Macaca fascicularis: one gene and its partners. The main gene of each other region encodes a partner of the protein of the gene in region 4 in a complex. Links are inferred from orthologs where the notes say so. Each region holds a gene or a part of one and is shown on either strand. Other genes may lie near its edges.

Region 1 (4,086 bases), on a different chromosome or scaffold from region 4:
CTAAGAGACTGAACCTCTACTTTACTTGAGTTAATTACATTTGATTCAGTACTTCCTGAATATCATGATGTGAAATACAGTATGTGTGACATGTGGGAATATAAGAATGAGGAAGACAGAGCTATGGCTCCCAAAAAACTTGAAGACTAGGCCAGGCACAGTGGCTCACACCTGTAAGTTTAGCACTTTGGGAGGTTGAGGCAAGAGGATTGCTTAAGCCCAGGAGTTCAAGACCAACCTGGCCAACAAAGTGAGGCCCCATCTCTACAAAAAAAAAAAAAAAAAAGAAATCAAAAAATTAGCTGAGCATGATGGTGTCAGAGGCATTTGAACCAGAGCAACTTCATCTTGAATAGGGGCTGGGTAAAATAAGGCTGAGACCTACTGAGCTGCATTCCCAGAAGGTTAGGCATTCTAAGTCACAGGATGAGATAGGAGGTCGGCACAAGATACAGGGCAAAAAGACTTTGCTGATGAAACAGCATACGGTAAAGAAGCCGGTCAAAACCCACCAAAACCAAGATGGCGACCAAAGTGACCTCCGATCATCCTCACTGCTCATTATATGCTAATTACAATGCATTAGCATGCTAAGAGACACACTCACCAGCAGCATGACAGTGACAAATGCCATGGCAACATCAGGAAGTTACCCTACCTGGTCTAAAAAGGGGAGGAACCCTCAGTTCTAGAAATTGCCTACCGCTTTCCTAGAAAATTCGTGAATAATCTGCCCCTTGTTTACCATAGAATCAAGAAGTAGCAGTAAGTACAAGCAGGTGAGCAGCCCATGCTGCTGCTCTGCCCATGGAGTAGCCATTCTTTATTCCTTTATTTTCTTAAAAAACTTGCTTTCACTTTACTCTATGGACTCGCCCCAAATTCTTTTTAGCGTGAGATCCAAGGACTCTCTCTTGGGATCTGGATCGGAATCCCTTTCTGGTAACAGTGGCACATGCCTGTGTTACTAGCTTCCCAGGAGGCTGAGGCAGAAGGATAGCTTGAGCCCAGGAGGTCGAGGCTGCAATGAGCCATTTTCATGCCACTGCACTCCAGCCTGGGGGACAAAGAGAGAGATTGTATTTTAAAAAAAAAAAAAAAAAAGGAAAATCTATTGAAAAAAATACAGTAAGTTAAAAAAAAAAAAAAAGTTTTACAAGAGGGAATAGCTCAGGGCCCCAGGGCCCTGATAAGAGTAAGACCAGTGTGAACACTGTCATTTTTTTGTATAGCCACACCTTCCAAAATAAACTTCTTCCCTTCACCAAAATTCTTCCCTGCACTAAATTATGTGGGGCCAGATCTGAGCTTCAGGGGTGTGAAAATAAGAACTCAGGGCTGGCTGCAGTGACTCATGCCTGTAATCCCAGCACTTTGGGAGGCCAAGGCAGGCAGATAACCCGAGGTTAGGAGTTTGAGACCAGCCTGGCCATCATGGCAAAACCCTGTCTCTACTAAAAATACAAAAATTAAGGCCGGGTGAGGTGGCTCACGCTTGTAATCCCAGCACTTTGGGAGGCCGAGGCAGGTGGATCACCTGAGGTCAGGAGTTTGAGACCAGCCTGGCCAACATGGTGAAATCCCATCTCTACTAAAATATACAAAAATTAGCCAGGTGTGGTGGTGCATGCCTGTAGTCCCAGCTACTCAGGAGGCTGAGACAATAAATTGGACAGTCTGGCCACACAGGGTCTGCGATTCTGCCTGGCAGCCGTTAAATCTCCCTAGTGGGGCTCCTGGTGACCCCCACAGCTCATCTGCTCAGCACAGCACAGTGGTTAAGAGCCAGGACTCTGGAGCCACCTGCCTGGAGTCCCACCCTGACTTGGCACTTGCTACTCATGTGATCTTGGGTAAGCGACTTTCACCTTGCCTACCTGTTTCCCTATCTGTAAAATCACAGTCATCACAAGTAGCAAGTTCAGGGGGCGTGGTGAGGATTCAATGAATGAATAACTATAGACAGCGCCTGGTGCATAGTTGAAATCAGGTAAGAGTTGGACCCATTGTGCATCTGCCTGGCCCCATGTGCATCCCAGTTTGCAACCCCTGGTTTAGGAGGTGAAATAAAAAGGATATATTGTCGGGATGGGGTTTGGGTAGGGGGCGGAGATGCCCTCTGATTAACTACAGAAACCCTGATCCAGGGAACGTGCTATGACCTGGAGTGGGAGTGAGGATGCAGGTAAAAATCAGACACACTGTGACTCTAGTGCCCAGATTTCAGCACTTTCTGAGTTTCCCGTCTTCCTACCCCTTCGAAAGATCCTTGACCAAAGCCCGATGCGGGGTCCCAGCCGGCTCCAGGAGATGCACACATCCACCCTGGGTAAAGGCGCACATCACGGGTGGGTAAAGGCGCACATCCGACACCCCGTGGCTACCGGAGAGGAGCTACCTCGCCACAGCCACCCCGCGACCACCTGTTTCCCTCTCGGAGACTCGCAGGAGTAGCCACGTTGGGGGCCCCTGCCGGGACCCGCCCCTCAAAATCCCAAAGGATAGCGCGGGTCCCGCGCCGTCTCCCCGCCCCCAAGTCCCTCGTCGCCCCACCCCCGGTTCTAGCGCATCCTCCCGCTCCAGCAGCCCCATTCCGGGAGGCAGCGTCCCGCGTCCCCGCCGCGCCCCCACGGGACCCCCCACGGCCCCCTAAGCCAGCACGTGCTGCAGCTCGGGAGGGCAGGACCTGGTGGCCCTCAGCCCCCGCTCGCCTTACCCGCCTGCAGCGTTGATGGGCCCGTCCCTCCGCCGCCTCCAGTGGTGTCGCCTCTTCCACCGCTGCCACCACCGCGGCAAAGCCACCAGCGCGTGACCCTCGAGCACCAACACCACCCCCCGCCAGGCTCTGCCCTTAAATGTGGGAACAACCGACGATCCTCATCCCCCCACTAGAGGGAAGCTCAGAAAGGGTTAACAAGCCAAGATCAAGGGTTAGGAACACCACTGCCACCTTCCTCCACCAACCCTCTACCTTCTCCATCACCCCCTCTCCCTCTTCTTCCTCCTTCTCCCTCCTCCACCTTCATTACCCCTTCTCCCTCCTCCACCACCCCCTCCCTCCTCCACCACCCCCTCCCTCCTCCATCTTCATCACTCCCTCTCCCACCCCCTCTCCCTCCTCCACCACCCCCTCTCCCTCCTCCACCACCCCCTCTCCCTCCTCCACCACTCCCCTCCCTCCTCCATCTTCATCATTCCCTCTCCCACCCTCTCGCCCTCCCCCACCACCCCTTCTCCCTCCTCCACCTTCATCACCCCCTCTCCCTCCTCCACCTTCATCAGCCCCTTCTCCCTCCTCCACCACCCCCTCTCCCTCCTCCACCACCCCCCTCTCCCTCCTCCACCCCCTCTCCCTCCTCCACCAACCCCTCTCTCTCCTCCACCTTCATCACCCCTTCTCCCTCCTCCACCACCCCTTCTCCCTACCCCACCACCCTTTCTCCCTCCTCCACCTTCATCACTCCCTTTCCCCCCCTCCCTCCTCCACCTTCATCACTCCCTCTCCCTCCTCCACCACCCCCTCTCCCTGCTCTACCTTCATTACTCCCTCTTCCTCTTCCACCACCTCCTCTCCCTCCTCCACCTCCCACTCTCCTCTTCCTCTCTCTCCCTCCTCCATGCCCCCTTCCTCCACCACCCCTTCCCTCCTCAACCACCTCTTCTTCCTCCTCCATCACCCCCTCTTTCTTCTCCACTACTCCCACCCCCTCCTTCCTCCACCTCCACTACCCTCTCCCTCTTCCACGCCCCCTCCCTCCTCCACCCCATCCCTCTTCTACCTCCACCACCCCCTTCCTCCTCCTCCCCTTTCCCTCTTCCACCACCCCTCTCCCTCCCCCATCACACCTCTCCCTCCCCACCACACCTCTCCCTCCCCTACCACCCATCTGTCTCCCCCACCACCTCTCCCTCCTCCACCACCCCTCCCCCCACCCCCTCTCCCTCCTCCACCACCCCTTTCCCTCTCCCTCCTTCACCACCCCTTTCCCTCCCCCACCACCCCTCTCCCTCCCCCACCACCCCTCTCCCTCCCTCACCACCCCTCTCCCACCTCCACCACCCCTTCTACAGTTGGGTTTCTCTAAG
Region 2 (4,016 bases), on a different chromosome or scaffold from region 4:
CTCTCCTTATCTCCCTAGTGCTCCCTCTTCCATCTGATCCATCTGGCCGCTACTGCCAGAGAAATTGTGCAGCACGGATCTCCCAAGTCCGTGAGTCAATGGTTTCCAGGGCCCACTACAATCAAATGACATTTTTCTTGTTTACCCTCTTTATTCAGTCTTCTTTTCACTTGTACCCAACCTGCACCCTGTAGGTGGTCTGTGCACACTGCGTCCATTTTCACTGCTGTCTTTGTTCATGGTGTTTGTCCAACCCTTACTGGAAAGTTCTTTTCTGCTAGTACCCAGCTCAAATCCCACCGCCTTTGTGACAGTCTCGTTTATTCGAATATATACGAATGTTTCCCTTTTCGAAGTATTCTATTTAGAGTTGGAAAAAACAGCATAGTATTTAAGTACTGTATTTTTCACTTCTCATTTAAGAGACCCACCAATGACCAAACACCTATAGTGTTTTATTTTTTGATGTCGGTAACTGTGTTGGTAGGAATATTTCAGTGACAAATATATACAAGGTAACTCACTGCGTTCAGATTTGTGCTTCCCTCCCTTCGACCAAAACCTGAGGACCTATTCTGTGTTAGGGCCTAAAAATACAGAAATGAAGGAACTACAGTCTTGATGCCAAGGCTCTCGTAAGCAGATTATAATATGATCTGCAGGGACAAATATTTGTGTTACCGAGGAAAACATGAGCGGGAACCTAACCCAACCCCATGTGACAAATACCTGAAATGGACTTCCTATTTCAACTACTTTCTCAGAGAAACATGGTGCCCTCGGGATCACTAGGTTAATCTGGAACATTCAGCAGAAGCCAATCATCTGTCTCTAATACTGTTAGAGAGAAATGGTCCCGAGCCCAGAATAACATGAGTTGCGCCCACCCTCACTTATCCACACAGTCCCCAGCCAGTGCCTAATGCGCCACGTTTGCAGACCACGTCCCCAAGCGCCAGCGCGGGCCGCGGTGCAGAGAGGAAGCTGTATTGACCTGCACTCTGCGTTTCAGAGCCCGGACCGCCCTGGGACCCCTGTGGCCCTCAAGTTCCCAAGTGACCTAGTCCAGGGAGTGGACATCTCGCTCTGACCCCGCCCTGGACGAGCCCGCCACGACGCGCCCGCCCACGACGCCCCCGCCCACTTCCGGCGCGCCCCCTCTGCGCCCCGCCCACTCCCGCCGGCCCTGCCTAGTGACGTCTTTGCCCGGAGTCGCGCCGTTCCGCCCATCTCCTTGGCCTCCGGTCCCTACTTCGCTGCTCTGCTGACCCTCGCTCGCCGCCGCCGCCGCCGCCGCTGCCAAAATGTGAGTGACGCTGCGCGACGCGGGCGGCTTCGGGCCCCGCAGGCGGCAGCTCGCGCTGGGATCGCCGTACCGCCCAGTTGCCGCCGGCCGCCGCTCGGACGCAGGCCGGGGCTGCGCGGGGATCCCGAGGCCTGGGGGTGGGCGGTAGCCCTTGGGGCGCGGGCTGCAGACGGCCCGGGCGGGTTCCGCTGCCATGGGGCGGACGCGGAAGGGGCGAGGGCGGGGTGGCGAGGCGCTTCCCGGAGGAAGTGAGTTGCCCGCCCGCACCCCGCTCCTCGCCCCTTCCCGTTCTAGTCCCAGAGGTCCCGGAGAGGAACGGGGACGACTGCCCTGGTTCGGGAGGGCCGGCTCTCGGCCCAGTTGGGCCCCGGAAGTTGCAAAAGAAAGGACCTCGGCCCTGTGCTGAGCCCCTGTGGGCCCAAGAGCTCCTTGCCTGGCTAGGGGCATCTGCACTGGAAAGATCACTTAACCGTGGGCCTTCGCACTCTTAAGCGAAAGCGCTCTTGTGGCCCTTGCAAACCGGTGCTTCCAGTGGTAACGCTCAGAGAATGTTCATGGTTAAGAATCACAAGGACCCTCTCTTCCACCTCCATTCTGTTCATTGCTCACCGTCGGAGGAAGCCCCGGGTTTCTTCCAGGAGTTGGGGACCCCCCCTCGAATGTTCCTGCTGAGGCTGCTGTGTCAATAGATCACAGTGGTTAAGATCTAGATCCCAGGTACACAGGACCTGATCTAAAAACAATCTGAACGGCAGCCAGCTGTGTTGACTTTTTAAACCTCACTTTACTTATCTGTAAAATGGGAGTAATATTCCCCTCAGAGAGTTATGAGAGTTGAAGGAGAAAATGCATGAAAAGAGTCTAGCACCACGGCATGGTCCTTACTTATCTACCAGACACTAAACTCTGTGAGGACGGCGATGAGATCTGTTGTAGCCCTGGTCATTGACACATGACAGATGTAAAGTGACTGTTCAAACAGTCCATCAGACTGTTGTATACTAAGGTACATGCTAGGTGCTATCTAGGATACAGAGAAGAGAGTAAGAAGACCCAGGAACCTGTAATCTATTCGAGGAGGCAGGACTTTATACCTGAAAAACCAAAGTGATACTTTCCAAGTAATGGAGCCAATAATGACTTCAGAGTCAGAGTGGTTAAGAAGGATCTGCATGAGGAGAAATAAAGCCTTTGATGAAGATTTTAAAAGATGAGTACCTTCCCGGGGCGGGCGCGCTGGCTCATGCCTGTAATCCCAGCACTTTGGGAGGCCGAGGCAGATGGATCACCTGAGGTCAGGAGTTCAAGACCAGCTTGACCAACATGGTGAAACCCCGTCTCTACTAAAAATACAAAATTAGCCGGGCGTGGTGGTGCATGCCTGTAATCCCAGCTACTTGGGAGACTGAGGCAAGAGAATTGCTTGAACCCAGGAAGCGGAGGTTGCAGTGAGCCGAGATCACACCATTGCACTCCAGCCTCGGCAACAGGAGGGAAACTCCGTCTCTCAAAAGAGGAAAAAAAAAAAAAAAAAAGAGTACCTTCCTAAAAGGGGAAGCATTGCTTCAACACACCTTTCCACTCACACCAACCGCTCCCTGCATCCCAGTGTTCCTGACTCTGTTTCTGTAAATTAATCTATTTTTCTATATTGGAAAAAGGGCATTCTATAACTGTTTATAACTATGAAAACAGTTCCTGCCACAATGAAAAGATCAGGAGAGTACTGAGTACGTTCAAGCAGATGTGTGCCTTAGAACAAGTTTCAAAAAAGGACAGTAGAGTTTACCTGTCGTGGGATCAGATACTTCAGGGATACAAAGTAGGTCCTATTAAACCTTCACGTTTGTCCCTTTAGTAGGTGGGACAGTCTTGGAAATTATAGAGAAATTAGAAGAAATGTAATTAAAACTTTTGTTCATTGCTTCAGGAAGAATTTCTTTTTCTGCTTTAGTTCTAATGTAAGAAATTGTTAACAGTGAGAGTCCTGGAGTAACTTCTTTATACTTAAGAAAATGTATTTGGAATCATAATTTACTCATGCTCCTGCCTTTACATGTTCCAGGTCTACAGGTCCAACTGCTGCCCCTGGCAGTAATCGAAGACTTCAGCAGACACAAAATCAAGTAGATGAGGTATTGCTCTGAAATGTTGGAAATATGAATTTTAAACAAGTATGAGCACTCTGGAAATCTGTTTAGAAAAAGTATCATGAAAGTGTGAATGTAAAGCAAATTCTGACTGTATCATAATTGTAACAAAACTTTGCTCCCTGCTGTGCTGGAAGATCTAAGCAAAAGTCAGACTTTCTAGGTTTCATGCTTGTTTTCCTGTGGTAGAATCACATACCTGCTCATAACATTTAGCTCAGGAAAAATAAAAAATCATATGCTTAAAACATGAACACCACTCCCTGAGTGTATTCCCCAAGAACCACTTTATAAAATAGGATAATACAATGTTAGGATTAGGTCTTTAGATTGCTCAAGCCAAGACCAGTTCTTCTGATCAGATTTTTTATCAAAATGCTTTGTCCACTTACTAGTTATCCAGCCTGAGCAAGCCTCTCTGTAGAATTCATCTCTAATGGCTGTCCACTGACTCACACAAAGTAGATACTGTCAAACTCCATTAGCCCAGCAAATCTCTATTTGTAGAATTCTTGAGCTAGAGGACCTTCATCTTTTGTTCTGCACTGTATGTGGAGAAC
Region 3 (4,116 bases), on a different chromosome or scaffold from region 4:
CCTGCTGCCTAGAGCACCCTCCCTGGCCCCACTCCCCAGCAAGTCCTGTGGTTCCTTGGGACCTAGCTCACTCCTCACCATGAGCTTCCCCCTGGTTCACACTGCTTCCTCTGAGCTCAGACAGTCACAGGAATGATATAATCGAGCCCTTCCTTACAGTAGGTAATTCCACTTTACTAGCATTTGCTGTGCATCCTGCCTTCCCAACCAGGTAGCAAGTGCCTTGGGGCTGACTTAGCTGCTCCCTCCAAGCACACAGTCCAACAGCCCACTAATCCCTGGGCCAAAGGGACCAGACACCCAGAGCCACCTAGGAAAACTATCACCAAAAATCCAGCTCGTGGCCCCACCCCCAAACACAGCACCTGAACTTCTCCCCTTGTGAAGAAAAAGAAAACACACACACACCCTCTGTCTCCTCGCAGCCTCTAAAATAAAATATTTTTCACCTAATCAATACAGTCCATCAGCCCCAGATGTTTCTCCACACCAGGCAATTCACCATCATGTTCTTCAAGTTCTTTTGCTAAACATTATCCAACCTCAAACAAGGGGCGTGGCCCAGAGCCCTTTTCCTGTTCCTTCCTCTCTTGGAAAGATCCCTCCCCTTTGTGTCTTACCGGCCTCTGCCAGGCTCCTACCCCAGTCTCTTCCCATCCCCAGGCCCTCCTCCCAAACCCCCTTCTCCAGCCTTCTGCAGACACTCCCAGTCCCACCAACTTCCCCAGGCTCTGCTTCTGAGGGGCCACCACAGACCGTTCTCTCTACAAGTCCACTAGTCCTTTCCCAGTCCTCCCCTCAGTTTCCACAGCCTCCCCTTGACCTTTTCGGGTCCCCCCATCAGCACAGATCCCACCCCCCCCACACACCACCACCCCCTGCCAAACTCCCTTTACTTCCTCTGCCCAGAGCCTCATGCTCCTCTCAACCCTACTAAGTCTTCGTGGCTCCCTTTACTGCTCCCTTTCAGCTCCTCTTAGCACACCCATGTTTCTGTCTCTCCCTCTCCTGACCCCTCCCAGACCTCTCCTCTCGGGCGCCCACCTTGAACCCCATCAGCTCTCTGCACACTCCAAACCTGCTTCCTTCTGGGAAGTCCATTAACAATAGCTAACACTCTCAGAGATGTAACTCCACGCCAGGCTCAATTCTAACACTCACAGCAAATGGGAGGCAGGTTAGATTTGTGATCTCCTTTAACAGGGAGACTAAACCATTTACCCAAAGTCATGAAGTAAGTGGCAGAGCCACATTTCAAACCTGGGCTCTTAATACTTTTAAGCCACTAAAATTATCACAGGATGGTGGTGTCAGCTTTTAGGAGCTACCGTGAGTTTTATGCCATGTCACATGCGTTAGTTCTGTCTCCCAAGCCTTTTCCCATCCCTCTTCTCAGCATGTTCCTGTCATCCCCATTACTCGAGGATCACACAGCAGGAATTTGATCCCCAGTTTTGATTCTCTCAGTCCCCGTCTCTCCCTGTTATCCCTCCATCTCCTTGGCCAAGCCACCACCACGCGTTCCCCCACCCAGGAGTCTCCGGCCTCAACCCAGGCCTCCTCAGGTTTTTTTCTTTCCTTTTTTTTTTTTTTTTTTGAAACGGAGTCCCACTCAGTTGCCAGGCTGTAGTGCAGTGCAGAGGCGTGATCTCGGCTCACTGCAACCTCCGCCTCCTGGGTTCAAGTGATTCTCCTGCCCCAGCCTCCCGAGTAGCTGGGATTACAGGCACCCGCCACCAGGCCCAGCTAATTTTTGTATTTTTAGTAGAGACGGGGTTTCACCATGTTGGTCAGGCTGGTCTCGAACTCCCGGCCTCAGATGATCTACTCACCTCGGCCTCCCAAAGGGCTGAGACCGCCACAGTCTTGACTCCATCATCCCGGTTCCTCTGCTCAGCTGTCCTTAAACTAGTCACTGCTAACCAGGGCCGTACTCACCCCAGGCACCCCCCACACTTCAGACGCAGCTCACTGCTCCTAGGATCATCTAAGCCCTGAGCCCCTCCAAAGGTGTCAGCCCCCTTCAGCCTTCACCCTCACTGCCCAGGGCCCACGCAAATCCACTGCCCCGGGGGATGAAAAGGTCAGTCCCTCGGGCAGGCGTCCTCAGCCCCAGGCCCCATCACTGCCGCCCGAGAGCCTTCACATTCCCCTAGAGCTCTGAAAAGCCTCCGGACCTGGCTTATCTCGCGGACTCCCTCCCTGCCCCCAAGCCGGTCCCCTCCAAGGCTTCAGGACGTATTCCCTCGGTTCAGGTTCTCCCCCTCCCGCTGGCCTGTCTTCGGCCTGGGTCCCCTTCCTCGCCTCAAGACAGGGTCGCCTCTGTCCATGTGTCCTCAGCCCAAATCCCTTCCGCCATGTCAGACCGTCTCTCCTCAAACCGTGTTGCCCCGGCCCAGGCTCTTGGCCCTCAGCCTGTGTAGCCTCTGCCGCTTCAGGCCAAGTCACCTCATTCCAGGTTCCTCTCCGTCCCCTCGGCCCGAGCTCTGCGTGCCCTAACCCGCCACCTCCGACCGTGACTCCTTCGTCCTCTCAGCCTAGGTCCCGGCCGACCCCTCAGCCCGGTTCTCACCCAAAGAGGCCAGAGAAGAAGGACTGCGAGTTCTTCACTTTGCGCTCCGCCTCGGCCAACAGCGCCATCGCCTCCGCTTCTTTCCCGGAATTGTCCATGGCGGCCACAAAAGGACTCAGCAAAGCGCCCGACACTGGCCCTGGGAAGACTCAGCCGCGGCCGGGCCGCGGAACACAGATCGGGAGAAGTCGCCCGGCTGCGTTGACGTCGCACCGGCGCGCGGCGCCTGCGGCCCGGAATCACGTGACTCGCGCTGGCCAACCAGAGGCCTCGTAGCGCGGCGCCCGCTCCGCCGGCCACGCCCCCACCAGCCGCCGCAAGCCGCCCGTGACTCGGGACCCCCCAATCGGCGTCCCGAGACCTCAACGCATGCGCACACACAGGACAACGACGCCCCACTTTCTCCTCAGCGCTCTGTACCTCACCTCCCACGTGACCCTGCGGAAGGCAATGGCAATACTCACCGCCGAGGCCCCGCCCCACGGTGTTGCCGCTGGATCCTCCTCCACCAATCAGCAGCAGCCCTCGGCTCGCGTTGTTAGGGGGGCCACCCCGCGCCCTCCCTGAAGTACTCCGGCAGAGTCAGCTGACCGCGGACACTCACGTGACAACTCGGGGCCCAAGCCCGGGTTTGACAGTTCTGCGCAGAGCTTAGTCCCGCCCCACGGCTGGTCTCGCCCGTTTCTTCACTTGGAAAAGCGTTTGTGGGAAAAGGAAACCGTTCTGCTTTTTCTTGCTCCCTCTACCGGCCAGTACTGGAACTGCTTTGGGGAGACCGGTGAAGTAGTTGAGAGACTGGAAACAAAAACTTAAGAGGTTCTCTAACTCTGGTTTCATAAAAAATAGATGAAGAGGGCCGGGCGTGGTGGCTCACGCCTGTAATCCCAGCACTTTAGGAGGCCGAGGCGGGCGGCTCACCTGAGGTCATGAGTTTGAGACCAGCCCGGCCAACATGGCGAAACCCCGCTCTACTAAAATACAAATATTAGCCGGGTGTGGTGGCTCACGCCCGTAATCCCAGCTACTCGGGAGTCTGAGGGAGGAGAATCGCTTGAACCGAGGAGGTGGAGGTTGCAGTGGGCCGAGATCGTGCCACTGCACTTCAGCCTGGGTGACAGAGTGAGACTTAGGAAAAAAAAAAAGCTGAAGACAGCGTGTTAAAAAATTCCGATTCGAAGATGGGCGCGGTGTCTGGTGCCTGTAATCCCAGCTACTCGGGAGGCGGAGGCGGGAGGATCGCTTGGGCCCAGGAGTTTGAGTCCGGTTCAAGTCCCGCCTTGGGCAGCATAGCAAGACTCTGTCTCTAAAAAAAAAAAAAAGTTCAGATTCAAACACACCTCCTGCTGCCCCAGAAAATTGAGTAGTTGGTTTTTGAGACAGGTCTCACTCTTTGGGTTGTTGGTTTTGGAGACAGGGTCTCACTCTGTCGCCCAGGCTGGAGTGCGGCAGCACAATCATAGCTCACCGCAGTATCACTTTGTAGTGCCAGAGAGGAAGGAAGTATTCCACACGTGTGCTCACACACAAAATTAGGGGGTATGCCA
Region 4 (4,277 bases):
GGAGGAGGAGGGTGCAGGGGAAGAGGTTGTACGCCGCTTTTCCGAACCCAGCTCTAAATGGTTTCTCCTAAGCGAGACAAGGATTTTCCATCGCCTAAAAGAGGCCATCAAGTTTTAACATTGCGAGGCACGACTTCTAATCGCATCCTTCCCGGAAAAGTACAAACAGTTCCTCAGACGAGGTCCCCCACCTCCCACGCGCTCCCCAGCCCGCCCTCCCCGCGGAGAGTCCCGCGACAGCCTCCCCAACACCTGTGAATCATCCGGGACGCTGCCACCGCCGAGCGATCCGCGCACCACCCCCTCCCCAGGCCCGTGCACGGCCAGGGAGGACAGTTAGGATTGTTGCTTTATAATTATCACTTTTAATCTCTAATATGATCAGCACAAGTAGCCTTTGTCTCCCCGCCCTGATTTGAGCATCCTAGGGCCCCCTGAGGCAGCCTGCACGGGTACCCGGGGTTTGCGCATTGAGTGAACCACCAGATTCGGCAGCGTCCCAGCCGTCCTTGCTCTGAAGCCCCCACCTCCTCCTGGCCGTTTGGACAGTTCCCTCGGGGCGTCCGTGCCTCTGTGGGGTACCCCTAAGACACCCAGCACGAAACCCCAGCGCCGACTGCAAATTCCACCCAAAGCAGCGTCATCCGTTTTTGCCCTCGGCAAACAACTCAACTTCAAGCCTCGAGTCCTCGCAAACCCACGCTGGCTGGGCTAACTCCGCTTCCCTTCTCCTTCCCCCGACTCCTGCAACAGCTCAGAGAGCCTGGCTCTGACGTACTTCAAAATAACGTGCGCCAGCCTCGCTCCCCGGCTGACCACAGCAACGAGAGCTGCAAGCCCTCGGCGCTGCTTCGATAACATGAAGCAATCACTCATAAAAATAGCAACCCACGTAGCCTGGCCATATATGGAACTGGCGAGGGTGGACGGGGATGCCCCTCCGGACCCTCTTTGGAGAAAACAAATCGCCGCAGAAATTTCCCCCACCCCTCCCATCACTACCTTTTACCCCCCTCTGCCTTCCCCTCTCCTTAGATGACTCAATCACCGATTCCACTGAAAGGGGGTGGGGGTGGGGGTGGGGGGAAAATATACACACACACACAAATTATACATATATTATACATGTATTATAAAATATATACACACATACATATATATACACGCACATATGTACACACACACACACACACCAAAGAACATCAAGAATGCAGTTGCGGGATGAACGCTTTTGCCCGAGACCGAGTGTTAAAATGGAGTCATAAGAGTCGCCCCTTTTGGGTGTTTATAGGAGGTGAAAACACGGAGGTTTGCAGGGCAGCGCCGGGGAGCCGAGTCAAGCGCGCCGCAGCCCGGGCCCCGCCTCCGCCCCCGCCGGAGCCCCGCCCCCACTTCCTCCCGCCCCTCGCCGGGCGGCTATTAAAAGCTGCTGACGTCAAAACGGACGGCCATCTTTGATGAGGGCAGAGCTCACGTTGCATTGAAGACGAAACCTCGGGGAGGTCAGGCGCTGTCTTTCCTTCCCTCCCTGCTCGGCGGCTCCTCCACACTTGCAACCTGCAGAGGCCCGGAGAACACAACCCTCCCGAGAAGCCCAGGTAAGGAGCCCCCTCCCCAGGTCGTGGTTCTGGCTCGGGATGGCTGCATACCCAGAAGGGACAGCAGCTGGGCATTCCGAGTGGGCTTGGGTAAATACAAGTATTGGTGCACTTAGGGTGCGGTATTCCGTGTGTGCACGTCTGGTGGGGGCTTTATAAAGTGTTTTCGAGGTGAACTGCTGGGGGAAGGGGAAACGGGAGCCCTGCAAATGGAGCGACGGGAAGGAAGAGCGAGGGTACGTACCGAATAATAACTTACTCTTTTGAAACAGTAGTGGGACCCCCTCTTTCTTCCATTTTGCGATGCAGTTTTCAGAGATATTTAGGCTGTTGGGTTCCCCCCCGTCGTTCTAACCCTATTATTTTGACTGTTGTCGTTAGGGTACTATTATCCAGGGAAGAATTAAGGAGGAGGCAGGGTGTGGGTGCTGGGGAAGCGAAAGGAGAAAGGGGGAGTTCCCGCCCCGGGCAAGCTGAGCTGCTGCAGCGACAGCAGCCTCCATGCCCCGCAGACTTGATTTATGCCGCCTGCTCCACGTCAACTGCAGGCTGGCGGGAGGCGGGCGGGTCGTGCCAGGTGGGAGGGCTCTGCGGAGGGCTGGCGCGGGTGGGCTGGCTTCGGGGACTGCGGCGGCCCGCGCTCAGCACCCTGGATAGCAATACCGAGGGCTCGCGCGGGCGCCCTCGACCTTTCAGCACCGGGGACAGCGGTCCGGCCGCAGCGCCGCATCTGCCTGCGGCAGAAATGCCTGGCCAGGGCTGGATGTGCGAGGGCTGGAGACCAAATTGTCTCTCTGAGACCCTGGTCTTACGGGGACCCTTAATAGAGGAGTCATAGTAGGTTAAAAGAAAACAAGAAAGAAATAAATCTTGCTCACAGAGACTCCTTTACAGACAATTTCCTGTTTCCCCTCCTCACCTCCTGCATAGCTTCAACAAAATAATAGTCTACTTGTGGAAATCTATGTTGCCCTCTGACCCTTATTTTAGGTAGAAAATAAATACATTTTTTAAAAAAATAGGCATTTATCCTTCAGCAGGGTATCAAGATTTTTGTTTGGTTTTGTTTTTTAACACAGAGTAGATCTGTCTACAGATCTTGGGTGAGTGTGAGTACTGTATATACAAAGAAGCCAATGCTATCTGTTTATAGGGATGATACATCTCTATGTTTCCATTTGATAGAAATGTGAGATTAGCTTAACTAAGCAGAATCAACTTTAAGAATGAATCACTGTTCCTTTTCCTTCTTCCCCCATCCTTGCAATCAGGCATGAACACAAGTATTCATCCACAAAAACACATATCTGAGAAATTTTGCTTGTCCTGTACTGAATAGATTTAATCTCTTTGGCCATGGTTTCTGAATTACTGGAAGTATTTCCTATCAGCACTGGTTATCACAGGCTGATAGCTTTAGATTTTGACAACATTAAGACTGGTCTTCCTCAGGAGAATCGAAGTGTGTCCTTCAGGGGAACGCAGGTAAAGAACCATGGTGTTAAACTAGAACTGAACTCTGACCTAAAGATCTACTGCAATTTCTCTTATGGCACTGCGGGATTTTGCTGAGGTGGTGATAACTACTTTAACCATTTTCTACTCTGAGGCTTGGAGTATCTGAGAGAGCAAAAGTCATCAGTGATATTTCTCTCTGTTTGATATAGATAAAACTGGCATAAAAATGACCAGTGTCAAAATTATGCCATTTGAGTAGTTAGCAAAAAAGAGTAACAGTGTCATTGTAATAATCTATACAACACATTAAAGAAACGCTATCATGATCCCCTTAAAAGACCCCAAATGAGACCTTGGATTGTGTTCAAATAGTCATACCTCCTATCATCCGTATGCTACAGATACTAAAATTTCCTGTCCATATACAGAAGGTGATTTCATTCCCAGCTATTTAATTATTTCCTAGTGTTTTTTTTTTTATAGATGACTATGTGTTTCCATGTCTGTATATATTGATCTGTTATTGTGCATGGATGTAAAATTATTTGGATGGACATTTATATAAGAGTATGTAAATGTATAAGAGAAGTTTATAACTTTGCAATCTGCAGACAAAAATAAACAACTGTGTTTTAGTGGTAGAGGAGAGAAAATATGGGTAGGAATTTTTTAAAATGCTTTAACTTCATGCTGCATGTCCAGACAGCTGTCTGCGTAGTTGCGTCAAATGAAAAGCCTAATGCTGCCGGAATTACGTGCTTGGACATTAGTAATTACTGCTGGGTTTGTTTGCTAGTGGAAGACTGGGGAGGAGCGGGGGAAGTAGAGGACTGCAGTGAAGATGTCAAAGGGCACAGAGCTGAGAGAAAGAAGCAATGTGCACAATTAGAAAGCTAATTTTAGAATAACTTACTGAGAAATTTCAAAAAATATATCATTGAACCATGAATTTAATATTTATATCATTGACAGCTTCTGGGGAAAAAATTGAGAAATTTCCTATTTTAAGTTTGAATTTTTAAAATCCAGGGCAATGCGGTGAGAAGAGGCAGGAGCAGATGGACATAGGATGAGCCAGGAGTCATTCACACAGACCCTCTGATGCCTGTTTGTTCATCGATATTTACTGCATTACCACCTCAGTGTTCAAATTACAGAATAATTGACAATCCTCTTAACCTCTTCATGGCAGAATCTCCCAAGAATTCACAATTTTATTTT
Region 5 (4,269 bases), on a different chromosome or scaffold from region 4:
GTTTGGGGAATTGAGATAGCTATTTATTTCCCTACCTGAGATGCCAAGATAATCTTCTCAGTAAAATAAAGAACCCAATTAGGTGAGTTCTCATTTGTAGCTATTGATCAAGTTTACACAAAATGCTAGGGTTTCTAAGTAAAACAAATAAGAGGTTCAAAGGCCTTTAAACGAGGTTGAGGGAGTGAGAAAGAGAAATAGTTCTCTGCGTTTTGAAAGCCTTTCACCTGTGGAGCAGATAATGGACGGGCCCCTCTCCCAGCTGGGCTCCGTTCCCGCCCCTTGCCTGGCGCGCGGTCCCTTCCCCCACCCGCTGAGCCTTCCTGTTTGGTATCTCGGTATTACCAGGCTATAAATTGCCTGAGAGCTTAGAGACAATCAGGTCACCACCGCCCTCACAAGGGAAAAGCTTCTTACTTCCGAGCAGAACGGTTCAGCTGGGAAGAGAGGAAGCAGGGAGAGATTTGTGCTTTAGTCGTCACTGCTCTGGTAAGGGGTCGAGAGAGATGGGGGAGGGAGGTGGCAAAAAATAAAAATAAAAAGCATCCCCAGCAATGCCGCACTTGACCCAAGTCTACAAACTTATTGGTCGCTGCAATGGAAACTCCCAGTGCACTCTCCACGGCCTGGCAGCCGCCGCTCATGGGTGGAGTCGCGTTCCCGGCCCCACCTATGGGACGGAGCGGCTTCTCCTGCATCTCGGCAACACCACACCCTTCGCGGGAAGTCTCCAGGCTTCCAGCAAAGCTCAGCTTATCCCGCCCCCGCTTCCAACCCGGAACCCCAGAAGAATAGCATGATGAACCTCCAGCAGCCCGGCGGGCCACCTCCCCGCGGCTCAGTTTGAAGACACTTGTGCAGAACCCTTTCATGTCCCCACCCTGCCCAGCTTTCACAACTCCGCCGGGTTAAATGGCCAAAGACAAACTTCTGCCTCTTCTATCCCGGGTTCCAGCTTTTCAAAAACCTACAGCTGGCAAACCCACACACGTCGAAACTCCTAGGTCGCTGTTGCAGTCTGGGCATGCTCAGTATCAGGGCAGGTTTTGATTGAAAGTAAAAAAAAAAAAAAAAAAAAAAAAAAAAAGCTTTGTATTATGCTCGCTCTCTTTCTCCTGTGCATATGGCTTGCTGAACAGGTTTTGGGGCATTCTTGAGTCTACCCAGAGGTTTTATCGGATGCCCTTGATTGTGTCTCCTTGGCATCTGTTCCCCTCTTACTTCACTCCCTCCCCCAACCCGCCTCCACCCCGCTTCCCAGGTCCCTGTCCGCTGTGGGGATGGAGGGACACTAACAGAACTGGGATGGGAGATGTTGGCTGAGCGGATCCACCTATTATTAGTGCGCTGGGATTGGCTTCTTGGCGCAGCGTAGCCGAGGTGGAGCCAATCAGGATGCTAGGGCTGGGAGATGATGGGCGGCCGCCTCCTCACTGGAGGGATTCCTGGAGAAGCTGCAGTGTGGGGATGCTTTAGAACGAGTACTGCCCCCAGTGTCTTTCCACCTCCTCCTGCAGCAGCGGCAGCGGCAGCAGCAGTTAGCAGCGGCAACTTGAGGCTGCACCCCGGGCAAGCCCCCAGGGTGGTGCTCAGCCGAGAGGGGGGCTCGGCGCCCCGAAGGGGTGTGTGTAGGGTGGGGGCGACCAGCTGGGACCAGCTGGTGGCCCTGGAAAACCTCCCACACACCCACACCCACACACCCCTTTTGTGTTGCAGGCTGCCCCTCCAAGAGCGGAGGCAGCGAGAGCACGCGTGTGCCTCGCGCCGGTCCACGCCGGGAGAGCACTGGGGACTGAGACCCGGCACCACCTCCCGGTCCGCCCTCCAGGTAAGGAAGCGGGACTGGCGGCGCGGCCACCTCGGCGGTGCCTATCTGCTCGAATCCATCCCAAAGATTTTCTTCTCGATACACTTGGATTTTAGTGGTGGGAGTCTGAGACCTAGGGAGGGATCCCCGGGTGGCCTATTGTGAGAAATATGAGACCACATGTGCATCTCCTGGAAAAGCACTTTGCACAGCGCCCGTGATTTAGAGCTTGGAGTTGATATTGGGCATCCCCCATCTTCTTGCTTCCTCTTTCCTTCTCTTGTTCTCTCTCCTCTGTCCCCCGCCCCCAATCTCAATCTTTTCTCTCTTTCTCTCCCACACCTCCCCTCTCGCCCTCCTCCCACCCTAAGCACGCACAGGGTTTCTTTCTCCTCCTGGAGAGGATTGCCTTTCTTAAGAGGAAAGAGGGGGAGTGAAGAAAGGAGAAAGATTTCTTTCTGTTGGGGAGAGGGATATGGGGGTGGGTGGGTTGGGGCGTAAACAAGATAGAATACAATCTCTGCGAAAATCAGAGCACAGAAAGCAATTAAACTGAATAAGGGGAGTAGACAAGCCGACCAGCTTGGGCTGTCAGAGAGGGGAAGCGTCAAGTTTGACTTGATTTCCTCCTTGCAAGAGACTATGTCTCTCACTTGATTCGTTCAAATGGAACAAAAATAAACCGACAATCCAACCCACTTTCAACTGCTTAATTGCTGTTGCTTTTGAGTGCCAACCATCTGACTTTTCCTGTTTCCATCTGTCCTGTGGGACTGACAATTTGGTATTGCACATCAGTGTTAATATCTGAACTTTGAAAGGTTTCTTGAGTAAGAAAAAAAACACAATTAAAAATAGATTATTACTTTCCTGAGGTTTCTTGGTATGGTCTGTTGTTGGGGGATCAAAAAATGTAAAGTTTCAAAACATTTGCAAGGGACAACAGTTTTATAGGGAGGCTTGGATTTCTACTTTGAGAAAGCTAATCTTCTAGTTAGCTTTGTGTACATGTTGATGTTCACTTTCTCCAGTATTAACCCTTTGGTGAAATAAAGCAACTGTTTAACTTTTGTGTGGAAGCTACATTTGTGTATGAATTTTCACTTTATTCTATCTTTCTACTATCTATTTGAATTTTATTGTCTGGATACCAAACTTATGCCTGGCTTTATTTTCTTTTAATAGGAGGATATTTAATGGATGTAAACATGATGTTTGTACAATTTCAGCACTCCCTTTAGAAGGCACATGGAGGCTCAGCTGGACAAGAATCCTCCTGTATTGGAACAAAGTTTAGAAAGTAATGCTAGAAAGATAGCCTAAATTTTAAAAATCCTGAAGGGGAAAACATTTTTGTAACGTCTTGTTAAAAGAAAGAAAAATATATCAAAACAGCAACATGCCCCTGGCTGCCTGCATAATAGGTCAAGTAAATGGTACTTGTTGGACAGAGCCTTTACAGCAGCTTCAGCAGTCTCTAATTCCATCATTGGGGATATAAGCTTTATTTTCTTAGTATTCATCAGGGACAGCGAAGCGATAGTACTGTCAGATGGAAGGAGGTATAGAGAAGTGCCTCGTTTGATGTAATAGGAAAGCATTCCAAGTGGGTCTTACCTGAACACAGAAAAATCAGCAGATGTTAGTATACAAAACACTTATTTTTATGTATAAGGGGAAATGCAGTCTTACTTTTTTTTTCTAGAAGTCCACTTGATATAAGAAAAGGGAATCTTCTATCCTAACTCTGCCTGACCTTCTACACTAATTTGTATCTCAGAGAGTATTTTTTCACTATGTATCTTTAATGTATAAGTTTACACACCAACTTAGAGAAGAGCTGGATTCATTTGCCATCAGCGTAATGTGTACTATTTCCAAACCATTTTGCATTTGAGGCAATGATCCCTCCGACCTAAGCAGAATTACCAAGTCAGGAAAAAGGATTCTCTTTCTAGGGCTTTGACATTTAAATGACTTAAAAAAAATACTGTCTCTGTTGAAAGCTAACTCTGGTTTTTAGAGGTGCCACCTTTTGGTTACAAGGACAAAGGGACAATCACTTAATTACCTCATGTGTATGTACAACTGAATTAACAAGTTTAGACACGAAAAGATGTACAAAAAGGAAGCCAGCTGACTTCATGTGAGAAAAATAAGATTTTGTTGTCTCATTTCTCCACTGTCTTAGGAATATGTGAAAATTTAGGCTTGGTTTGTGACATTTATTTTCATGACTCTTTACAAATGTTAATTATAGAAATAACATCTAAAAAGATGGATATCAGTAGTTTTTCACATACTTCTAAAAAATTCAATATCTATATATTAGAAATCAGAACTAATTCCAATATATTGTGAGTGGATTGTGGAGAGACCTTAAATGATACATTATAGGAAATTCTTGTTCTGTTATCCCACAAAACAGTCTAATGTCACAATTTTATACAGTCTTTATTTTT

What was found. Proteins that work in one complex are often made in the same cells at the same time.
Region 1: the proteins of SNAP25 (region 4) and RPH3A are in contact, whole or in part, in a crystal structure (PDB 5LOW), measured with the Rattus norvegicus proteins. The link is inferred for Macaca fascicularis from reciprocal best matches to the Homo sapiens genes SNAP25 and RPH3A. Residues at the interface, in NP_112253.1 of Rattus norvegicus: Glu38, Asp41, Ile44, Arg45, Leu47, Val48, Met49, Asp51, Glu52, Glu55; in NP_598202.2 of Rattus norvegicus: His617, Ser618, Ala621, Ile648, Ser649, Ala650, Lys651, Gly652, Leu655, Tyr659, Leu662, Lys663, Lys665.
Region 2: the proteins of SNAP25 (region 4) and VAMP3 are in contact, whole or in part, in a crystal structure (PDB 5KJ8), measured with the Rattus norvegicus proteins. The link is inferred for Macaca fascicularis from reciprocal best matches to the Homo sapiens genes SNAP25 and VAMP3. Residues at the interface, in NP_112253.1 of Rattus norvegicus: Asp147, Leu150, Glu151, Val153, Ser154, Ile157, Leu160, Arg161, Ala164, Leu165, Met167, Gly168, Ile171, Asp172, Gln174, Asn175, Ile178, Asp179, Ile181, Met182, Ala185, Asp186, Asn188, Lys189, Ile192, Ala195, Asn196, Ala199, Thr200, Met202; in NP_476438.1 of Rattus norvegicus: Ser15, Arg18, Leu19, Gln21, Thr22, Gln25, Val26, Glu28, Val29, Ile32, Met33, Asn36, Lys39, Val40, Glu42, Arg43, Lys46, Leu47, Glu49, Leu50, Arg53, Ala56, Leu57, Gly60, Ala61, Gln63, Phe64, Ser67, Leu71, Lys74.
Region 3: the proteins of SNAP25 (region 4) and NAPA are in contact, whole or in part, in a cryo-EM structure (PDB 6MDM), measured with the Rattus norvegicus proteins. The link is inferred for Macaca fascicularis from reciprocal best matches to the Homo sapiens genes SNAP25 and NAPA. Residues at the interface, in NP_112253.1 of Rattus norvegicus: Glu37, Lys40, Asp41, Ile44, Arg45, Leu47, Asp51, Glu52, Glu55, Gln56, Arg59, Glu62, Gln152, Asn159, Met163, Asp166, Glu170, Thr173; in NP_542152.1 of Rattus norvegicus: Lys122, Glu155, Glu156, Ser157, Asn158, Ser159, Ser160, Asn162, Pro196, Leu197, Leu198, Tyr200, Ser201, Lys203, Asp204, Ala234, Phe235, Ser236, Arg239, Ser268, Ile269, Ser270.
Region 5: the proteins of SNAP25 (region 4) and SYT1 are in contact, whole or in part, in a crystal structure (PDB 5KJ8), measured with the Rattus norvegicus proteins. The link is inferred for Macaca fascicularis from reciprocal best matches to the Homo sapiens genes SNAP25 and SYT1. Residues at the interface, in NP_112253.1 of Rattus norvegicus: Lys40, Asp41, Ile44, Leu47, Val48, Asp51, Glu52, Glu55, Gln56, Arg59; in NP_001028852.2 of Rattus norvegicus: Cys277, Arg281, Lys288, Val292, Leu294, Glu295, Asn336, Tyr338, Asn340, Arg398, Arg399, Pro400, Ala402, Trp404.

Annotation. Positions count from the first base shown.
Region 1 is NC_088385.1:119,501,871-119,505,956, reverse strand, and holds the start of RPH3A (rabphilin-3A), read right to left. Parts: upstream 2,801-4,086; 5' UTR 2,717-2,800; intron 1-2,716. UniProt on the Homo sapiens protein: Plays an essential role in docking and fusion steps of regulated exocytosis.
Region 2 is NC_088375.1:227,099,272-227,103,287, reverse strand, and holds the start of VAMP3 (vesicle-associated membrane protein 3), read left to right. Parts: upstream 1-1,216; 5' UTR 1,217-1,304; coding exon 1,305-1,306; intron 1,307-3,371; coding exon 3,372-3,441; intron 3,442-4,016. UniProt on the Homo sapiens protein: SNARE involved in vesicular transport from the late endosomes to the trans-Golgi network.
Region 3 is NC_088393.1:55,533,661-55,537,776, forward strand, and holds the start of NAPA (alpha-soluble NSF attachment protein), read right to left. Parts: upstream 2,801-4,116; 5' UTR 2,671-2,800; coding exon 2,573-2,670; intron 1-2,572. UniProt on the Homo sapiens protein: Required for vesicular transport between the endoplasmic reticulum and the Golgi apparatus. Together with GNA12 promotes CDH5 localization to plasma membrane.
Region 4 is NC_088384.1:77,140,275-77,144,551, reverse strand, and holds the start of SNAP25 (synaptosomal-associated protein 25), read left to right. Parts: upstream 1-1,477; 5' UTR 1,478-1,834; intron 1,835-1,842; exon of another isoform or gene 1,843-2,124; intron 2,125-4,277.
Region 5 is NC_088385.1:85,716,458-85,720,726, forward strand, and holds the start of SYT1 (synaptotagmin-1), read left to right. Parts: upstream 1-1,469; 5' UTR 1,470-1,828; intron 1,829-4,269. UniProt on the Homo sapiens protein: Calcium sensor that participates in triggering neurotransmitter release at the synapse. May have a regulatory role in the membrane interactions during trafficking of synaptic vesicles at the active zone of the synapse.